2 linked regions of the Sus scrofa genome follow. The protein of the gene in region 1 purifies or fractionates together with the protein of each later gene. This does not show direct contact. Links are inferred from orthologs where the notes say so. Each region holds a gene or a part of one and is shown in the gene's direction. Other genes may lie near its edges.

Evidence for each region. The genes of interacting proteins can lie anywhere in the genome.
Region 2: the proteins of RAB27B (region 1) and SYTL4 purify together in Homo sapiens (co-immunoprecipitation; 3 studies listed by BioGRID and IntAct, counting the BioPlex papers as one, with this or other methods). This does not show direct contact. The link is inferred for Sus scrofa from reciprocal best matches to the Homo sapiens genes RAB27B and SYTL4.

What each region holds. Positions count from the first base shown.
Region 1 is NC_010443.5:104,405,144-104,409,045, forward strand, and holds part of RAB27B (ras-related protein Rab-27B), read left to right. Parts: intron 1-3,053; coding exon 3,054-3,157; intron 3,158-3,902. UniProt on the Homo sapiens protein: Small GTPase which cycles between active GTP-bound and inactive GDP-bound states. In its active state, binds to a variety of effector proteins to regulate homeostasis of late endocytic pathway, including endosomal positioning, maturation and secretion.
Region 2 is NC_010461.5:82,434,484-82,439,149, reverse strand, and holds the start of SYTL4 (synaptotagmin-like protein 4), read left to right. Parts: upstream 1-1,710; 5' UTR 1,711-1,865; intron 1,866-2,191; exon of another isoform or gene 2,192-2,444; intron 2,445-4,666. UniProt on the Homo sapiens protein: Modulates exocytosis of dense-core granules and secretion of hormones in the pancreas and the pituitary. Interacts with vesicles containing negatively charged phospholipids in a Ca(2+)-independent manner.

The sequences.
Region 1 (3,902 bases):
TCAGCGCACACACACACACACACACACACACACACACACACATACACACACACTCACCACTCTTAAGGAGAGAACAGAGAGCAGACTTTTGTGGCTGACTTAGCCACACTATCATGGGTGAGTAGGAGACAACTTTGTGAGTACAGGCAGTCCCCAAAGAAAGAGAAAGAGAGAGAACCATTCAATAAAAGCATTGTAACCTCTGGGAGCTTCTACTGACTGGTAGGAACAAATCCACAAAAATAAAATTGAGTAAAATTTTTGGTATTTCATAAGCAATGTAATTATGTCCTACCAAAGAAATCTTATTTGGGAAATAACAGTCATTAAAATATCTCTTCTCCCTACTTCGGTACTAAAAGTATTGTTCTCTGTTGAAGTCATTTAAATCTTTAATAATTTTGTATCATTTGCTATTTTCTTTCTCTAAATTTGACAAATATTTTGTGAACCAAAAAAAAATATATATATATATATATGTTCACGGCCACAAAAACACAGTGGATAGCAAGTTAGAAACACATCTCCTTTTCTCTTGGAGCTTCCAGTGTAGGGTAGAATTTGGATAAATACGCAGTAGCAATATAGCTTTAGGACACTAACAGGAAAACAAAAAGTGATAGGCAGGTACGGCTAAGAGGAGTCCATAACCCAGGAGGGGGTGCTGGATGGCTGTGTGGGGAAGTGATCCTGTTATAGATACACATTCATACACAATGTATGAGTGACTCTTATCCAGGCTGAAGGGGGAGGAGGTAAGGGAAGCATGAAGGTGAGGTTACCCACAGGAATAACAGCATGTGTGAAAGCCCAGGGGAGAGAGTGAACTTCCTAAGAACTGCAAGAGGAGCAGCACGCCTGTGGGGAGTCAGGAGATAAAGAAGGATAGATGGGCAAGGGTTAGTTCATGCAGAGCCTGGACAGGTTGCTTTAAAAAGTTGTCATTATCTGAAGAGCAGTGCCTCATCATTTAAATGGTTTAGCTAAGGATTTATATAATCAATGGGGAGAAATCAGGGAAGGGGAGGTTCCCAAACAAAACTGGAGACGGGAAGCCTATTGAGAAAGCTGTTAGGAGTTCCCGTTGTGGCTCAGTGGTTAACGAATCCGACTAGGAACCATGAGGTTGCGGGTTCAATCCCTGGCCTTGCTCAGGGGGTGAAGGATCCTGCGTTGCCATGAGCTGTGGTGTAGGTTGCAGACGCGGCTTGGATCCCGCATTGCTGTGGCTCTGGCATAGGCCGGCAGCTACAGCTCCAATTCGACCCCTAGCCTGGGAACCTCCATATGCCACAGGTGCGGCCCTAGAAAAGGCAAAAAGACAAAAAAAAAAAAAAAAAAAAAAAAAAAAAAAGAGAAAGAGAGAGAGAGAGAAAGCTATTAAAATGATCCAGGTGGGATGAAAATGGTTTGGAAACTAGAGTGGTGTCAGGGTACATGGACAGAAGTGAGAAGAGGTCGGAAGATATATTTGTTGGTTTGTATTTAGCAGGTGAAGGAGAAAGAGGCTGTAGCAACCAAGGAGGACGGTGATGCCACTGACAGAAAAAGAAATCAGGAGGAGGGGCAAGTTTGGTTTCAGACATGTGACGTTGGGAGTAGCTTAATTTCCTCCAAGTGGAAATATCCAACTAGTAATTGGGCAGACATTGTGGAGGGCAGGAAAGATCAGAGCCTATAAATTTGGGGTTCAACATATAGGTGATAGTTGATCTGGAGAAATGAGTGCGATTACCCAGTGAATGGATGTAGAGGAAGAAAGGGTCAAGAAAGGAAACCAAGAATCTACAAATTGGCTAAAATAGGGAACCAAACAGTAGAAGGACATTTAAGATAGGAAGTGATATGCTTCTCTATTTCAAAGTAAGTTGCCTTTCAAAAAACCAGTTGTCAGATTCACTTCTTTACCAGTATAACCCATACCTTCTCTGAACCCTAGGTGTGATCTCTTGTTTGGCCCATTCCTGACATTGAAGTGGACCTCAGAGCATCTTCAGCCCTGAGGCTGTTGGGATGGGGGTGGGGGTCAGGTAGAAGCAGGAGAGAGAGTCTTTACATCACACATGATGGAGTGTATTCTTCAAAATCCTCCATTAGAGGAGTTCCCGTCGTGGCGCAGTGGTTAACGAATCTGACTAGGAACCATGAGGTTGCAGGTTCGATCCCTGCCCTTGCTCAGTGGGTTAACGATCCGGCGTTGCTGTGAGCTGTGGTGTAGGTCGCAGACGAGGCTCGGATCCTGCGTTGCTGTGGCTCTGGCGTAGGCCAGCAGCTACAGCTCCGATTCGACCCCTAGCCTGGGAACCTCCATATGCCGCAGGAGCGGCCCAAGAAATGGCAAAAAGACAAAAAAAAAAAAAAAAAAAAATCCTCCATTAGAGATGACTTTTCTCATTTCCTCTCATCAACTACCTCTTTGCCCTTCCCTTGATTCCCCTAATCAACTTCTTCTTTTCCTTTCTTCACTGTCATCTTTCTCCTTAAGAGACATGCATGCCAGCCTAGAGCTCAGTCTTACCCCCAAAGAGTGCATATAGAAAAATGTTCTCCTCCACATTGTTTTTCCTTACAAAAGAATCATAGTTCCGGCTGCTAACGAGTTGTGGTCTTCTGCATGTAATCACGGCCATTCATGTGCAGGCTACCACGTGCCAAGCTTCCTTCTGGGCACAGACAGGAAAATTGAAAAGTATAAGTTAGAATCCCAACTCTAAAATAGCTTATATTTTAATTGTGGGCTGCACGATGCCCATGAGCCAACGGGAGAAAGATTCCAAGGGACTGTGTAAGCCAGTGTGTGGTTGGAGGTTACAAACTCTTGCCTGCATACATGCTATGGGGACATAAAGCTGGGATGTCATCTTGAACAAACCTGCAACCAGATGTGCTCCCCTGGCCCTTCCACAGTCTTTCTGCCCACTCTCATTCTGTTGGATAATCCGTGGGATGCTCTGGAGATTGGGTATTTGAAAGAGAAATAGTGTCGTTTCTGTTGTTATCAGAATATGAATGTGAACTAACTTTCAGAACTATCCGCTGTGCTTTCTTGGCAGATTCCGGAGCCTCACCACTGCATTTTTCAGAGATGCCATGGGTTTCTTATTAATGTTCGACCTCACCAGTCAACAGAGCTTCTTAAATGTCAGAAACTGGATGAGTAAGTGGGACTGAGTAACTTCCCTTGGCGGTGTTGGGACCCAATGGCTCTCTTTGCTTGTTGGCCTTACAAAATGAAACCAGACTGGGGGCCACAGATTAACTTTAAAAAGTCACAAGTTTAGCATTTCTTGTGTCACCTTCAAAATGGTGGCTTTTATGTGGCTCACCCAAGGTGGCTTGGAATTGTGATTTCCTTTGATACTATAGAAGAATCAACACCTATACGTAAGGACTTTGTTATTGCAGTTGACAGGCCATGAATTCCACTTGTCCAGTAAGTCTCGAAGGACTTCTGACAACTAAGGAAGCCGGCAGGTCTATGACATTTAGTCTGGAAGTGACACAACAAACAGCAGCATTTTCTGAGTGGGCACCCTTGCATGTGGGGTAACTAAAGGGTTAATTAAGCAATAGCTTAATTAATTGAGAAATTGCTGCAGAGCAGAGCAGCCACAGCGTGTCCATCAATAAGCCCACATTGAAATTTAATTTTTCTTTTTTGAAGAAAAGGAGGGTTACCAGGAAGACTGGTAGAGAAAAATCCCCAGCCTTTGCGGCAATTTAAACATAAAGTAGCCTAATCCCAGTTATTCAAGCCAGATTGATATATGTCAGCACGGAAGAGTAGTATTTTATTTTTCCTCTATTTTTAATTGATATAGCACAAAAGATAATATTTAATTTGCAGTTTTTTCTTTTTCTTTTTTTTTTTTTTTACAAATAGCAGTTTTGATCCCAGTGGG
Region 2 (4,666 bases), on another chromosome or scaffold:
TCTCTCTCCACTCCCTCTTGGCAACCACAAGTCTTTTCTCCATGTCTGTGAGTCTGCTTCTGTTCTGTAGAAGGTTCATTTGTGCCATATTTTACATTCCACATATAAGTGATATCATGTGGTATTTGTTTTTCTCTTTCTTACTTACTTCACTTAGTATGAGAATCTCTAGTTGCATCCATGTTGCTGTGACATTCATTCTTTATACAAATACTAGTGAGAACTTACTATAGTAAGTCAGGTATACATGCCAGGTACTATGCTAGGTGCCAAGTTTTGGCCTTGGGTGGCACGTTGTCATTTCCTGAGATAAGAAACACTGGAGTGGGAGCAAATTTAAGATAAAAGGTGGTGGGTTCAGCTTTGGATGTGTTGAGTTTGAGGTGCCTGCAATATGTCCAAGTGGAGATGTCAAGAAAGCAGAGCTCAGAGAAAAGTTCTGGATGGAGCTATAAAAATACGGTTGTGGTCATGCAGATGGTAAGTCATGCCAAGTGAGTGAAAAATCATTTAGGGAGAGGGTATATATAGCTTATTCCTGAGAATGTCCATCTTTCAGAGGTTAGAAAGCTGAAATGGAGTCAGCAAAGGAGACTGAGGAGAGAGCAAAGTGGTAGGAGGAAAAACAAAAGTGTATGGCGTCTTAGATGCCACAGGAAGACTCGAGGAGGAAATGGCTAACTGCACTAAATGTAGGGGAAAGGTTAAGCAAGATAAGGAGTGAAAATGCTCTGTTTATTTATTTAATATAGTTTTTTTTTGACATGGCGATCATTGGTTGGGTATCTTGTTAAGCACAGTTTCAGTGGAGTGTTGAGGGAAGGACGCCACATTGCTGAGTAAGAAGTAAGGGGATAGAGATTGCAAATGTACCTGTAAAGTACATTTTCAGTAAATTTGCCCATAAAGAGGAGCTGGAAAGGTACCTAGTGTATAGAGAGGATTTTTTTTTAATATGGCAGAGACTTGAGCATGTTTAATTGCTGATGACAGATGAGAGGGACTTGAGTGTGGTAAATGGCTGATGAGAAGAATGGAGGGAGAGGAGAGAGAGGGAGAGGAGTCTGTAAGTACTGGGTAAAAATAAACGTTTTAAAGTCAATTGATATATATTGCTCACTGTTTTCTAAAAGAGTTTTTAACCAGCATACACTCCTACTGGCAATTATGAGAGAGCTTGTTTGGTGGCCACTTTGTCTTCTTTAAGTGTTATAAAAATAAGCAAGGAAGCAAACAAAAACCTTTGCCAAAGAATTTCATTATTGATCTAATTTGCTCTTTTTTGGACTAGGGAGTTGAATGTTTTAATCAGTTGTATCCATGTGTGCATTTAGTCTCTGTCTTCCCCCCCCAAAGTTTCTATTTTAGACAGATGCTTTTATTTGCCATAAAAAGCTGAAAGTCAAAGCATGAGAATGGTATCATATTTTATCTCCCCCAATTATATGCTCTTGAGTCTTCATCTTCTTAGAAGTACACAACTTTTGGCTCAGCTGAACTGAAGAGAAAGATGTATATCATTGAGAGAGTGACCACCGAGAGTCTAGTCTTAGACTCTTATCCTCGGTCCTCAAGCCCCGTTTGCTAACCTGGGACAGCACTCCTTAAGTGCCTTAAGACTTGGGCTCCCAGAGCTCCACTTGGGTGGTGCGGCCCCCTACCAAGGAGCCCGGAGCTCTGTGCGGCCCCTTTAAGAGTCCAGCTCCTCCCAGCTCCAGGGAAAGTTGCAGCTTTTTCCGCCTCCCGGGAGGGTGAGAAGGGCCGGCCGCTGGAGCTGGGTGGCGGTCTTCCCGGAGCCAGAGACCCTACCCTGAATCTGGCACTGGGACGTCTCGCCCTCTTGCGGCACCTGTTGCAGGTGACAGGTAGGTCCGTGGCCCTCGACCGCCCCTCTGCCCTTGGTCCGGGACGTCTCCTGGGCCCCCAGTCCCATTTCGCTGCCTGGGCGCTCCCACCCCCATCTCGGGGACCTGCACCCTTCCTTACCCCCTTCCACTCTCCCAGTCTCGTCTTAGCTGACCCCCCGTTCCCTCTCTCCGGTCCGCCTCTACGGACCGCACCCCCACGCTTTGACTCACGTCTGCTGGGGCAGTCCCTCCCCGCCACTTTGCCTTTTCCCCCTGCCCCCACCCCAGGTCCTTTCCCTGGCCGCTTCCCAGGCCAGTCCGTCGCCGCCGCGGGTTGTGCCCCTTGGGACTCTGCCTCCTCCGGAGTGGCTGGCTTTTCCCGCCCTCCAGAGCCTGGGGCCCCTTCTGAGAGCTGGCCCTGGGGGCGGGGGTGGGGCCGAGCTCCTAGCGGGAACCGCGCCTTCCGAGGTGTCGAGTCACCTTTTCGGCGGTGTCTCCCGCTGCGCCCGGCCGTCGCGCGTGGTCTCTGCCCCGCACTGCTTCCGGACCACGGACCTCGCGGCGTCCACTTCCCTAGCCTGGGCTGATCCGCCTCAGGTAAACGCTGGAGGCCGGTTGGCCAAGGTCCTGCCACAGTGGGCACCGTCTGCACTTGGGGCTGAGGACCCAGCTGTGTGGTCTGGAGCTGAACCGCTTTATCTTGTCACCCTTACATCAGGCTGTGGGGGTATGCTCCTGGAAGAGGGTCCTCAGAGCCCTAAGAAGGGGCACCGAACGCTTCTGCCTACTGTGATGGTTTGTAAAAGGGCAGAAAAGCTGTCTCTCCAGCCCTTAAAGTTGAATAAGATGGTTGGGTTTATTGGTGGTGAAGTCATGTGGTTAGAATTTTGGTGACTTCAACAGGTGATCTATTTCTCCTTAACAAACCTTTTCTTCCCCCAGGATCTTGCCTGCTTCAAAACCAGAGGACCTAGCATTCCAGAATACTGCTTTTGGCAGGGTTGACCCTAGACCTTGTACGTTTGTGCTAGAAATTAGTCTTCAGTACATCTTGTATCTTCTATTTTTAACTGGCTTCTTTTCTGCTCTTTCAGCTCCCCACCCCACCTCTCATAAATCCATTAATATTAAGGTTTTAATTACCTTATGTGTTTACTCGCTGGTCTGTGGAGAGAACAATGTTTAATGCAAAGAGTTGAAGTTTTCTGCTGTAGTTGTAAATGTTATTTTTTTTAAGAACTTGCTTGAAAACCTTGTTAAAAAAAAAAAAAAAGGACTGTACACCAACTTGGCTTGTGAGACCTTTCCTGGCAGGGGATGAATGTTGCTGGTAGCACAATTTCAGGTGCTTCACTCTAGGTCAGAGCTTTGAAATGGAGTTTGGAGACCTGTTCGGGGATAGTTGGTCTGCGAGTATATGTGGCATTCTCGTTGACGCTCTCTGAGCTTTTCCCCTTAAAGGCTGCTGCTAATCATGGTTGCTAGAATCCATTGATTCAGGCACTGTGATAAGTTCTTTACATAATTATCTCACATAATCTTAATGTCAACTCAATTGCTAGGCACTACAATTATAACCATGCTAGGATAAAAGGGAGACTCTGAGAATTGAAGTACCTTGCCTCAAGTCACCCAACTGGTTGGGGGAAGAGTGGGGCCATCTGATTGTAGAGCTCTGTTTGTATCCCCTGCCACACCACCTCTGCTATCTTAGATGTTAGGAACACTAAATTGCTCACAGGTGAGGACTCAATGATTAAAAATTTTCCTTTCAAGCCAAAGCCTAACTTTTGGTCTTTGGCTTGACCTCAGAGGCGCTGCAGAGATTTTGGACCCCTTAGCTCACTGATGTGTTATCCACTTCACTTCCAATGTGGGGCTGGCTGGTTGCCACACTGCCACTCTAAACACACACCCCTGAATGTACGTTGTTGAATGAAACCTCTGGGGCTCTCAGCTCAGTAGGAATTGTCCTGAGAGTGTGACCCTGGATTCTAGGGATGTGCGCCTGACTCAATTTTTTCCTTTCCTGCTGGCTAGTGGAGAAGTGAGGGGGTGGAAAGTGATAAGGATTTCCCAACAGCCAGACCAGAGAGCCTGAAGCTGAGTGTGAGTGTGTGCTTGTGTTATTGTGGGGTGGATGAAGTACCTTAGGCAGGGACAGTCCATGAGAAAATGCCCTTCTTGATCCCATCTTTGGGTCTTTGCTCAAATTACTCTTTTTTTTTTTAATTCCTGAAGAGATAACTTGCCACCTGTATACATTCCCGTGCCATTAATTCCTCTTCATCTCTCAAGATTTAGCTCTAAAGTCATCTCCTTTGGGACCACCTTACTGAACACACATTTCCTTCCCCTGAGCAGAATTAGCAGTTATCCTGTGTCCTAATGTACTTTGTTTACACCTCAGGGAAATCCCTTAATGCTGTTGTTAGTTGGTTTTCCACCTGGAAGGTTGTAACCTCTGTAAGGTTTGGATCTTGGAGCTCCCTTTGTCTTAAGTGCAAGAGATTAACAAATATTTGTGCTAGGACCTGGGGATGCCATACCTGTAAGGGCCTGAGGTCAGGTGATGGTGGGATTGAAGGACAGAGGACACCTTATGGAGGCACTTGAAATCTGACAGCTAAGAGTTTGTACTTAAATGTCACCTTAGTGAGGCTCTCCTTATTTAAACTTAGAACCCCTTCCCTGAGCATTCCATATGCCCTTTCCTTACCTTATTACTCTAATGTAATATATTGTGTATTTTATTCATTTTTCTTTCTTATTGCCTGTCTTGCTCCCCCCCTCCATAATGTAAATTCCATGTGGGCAAA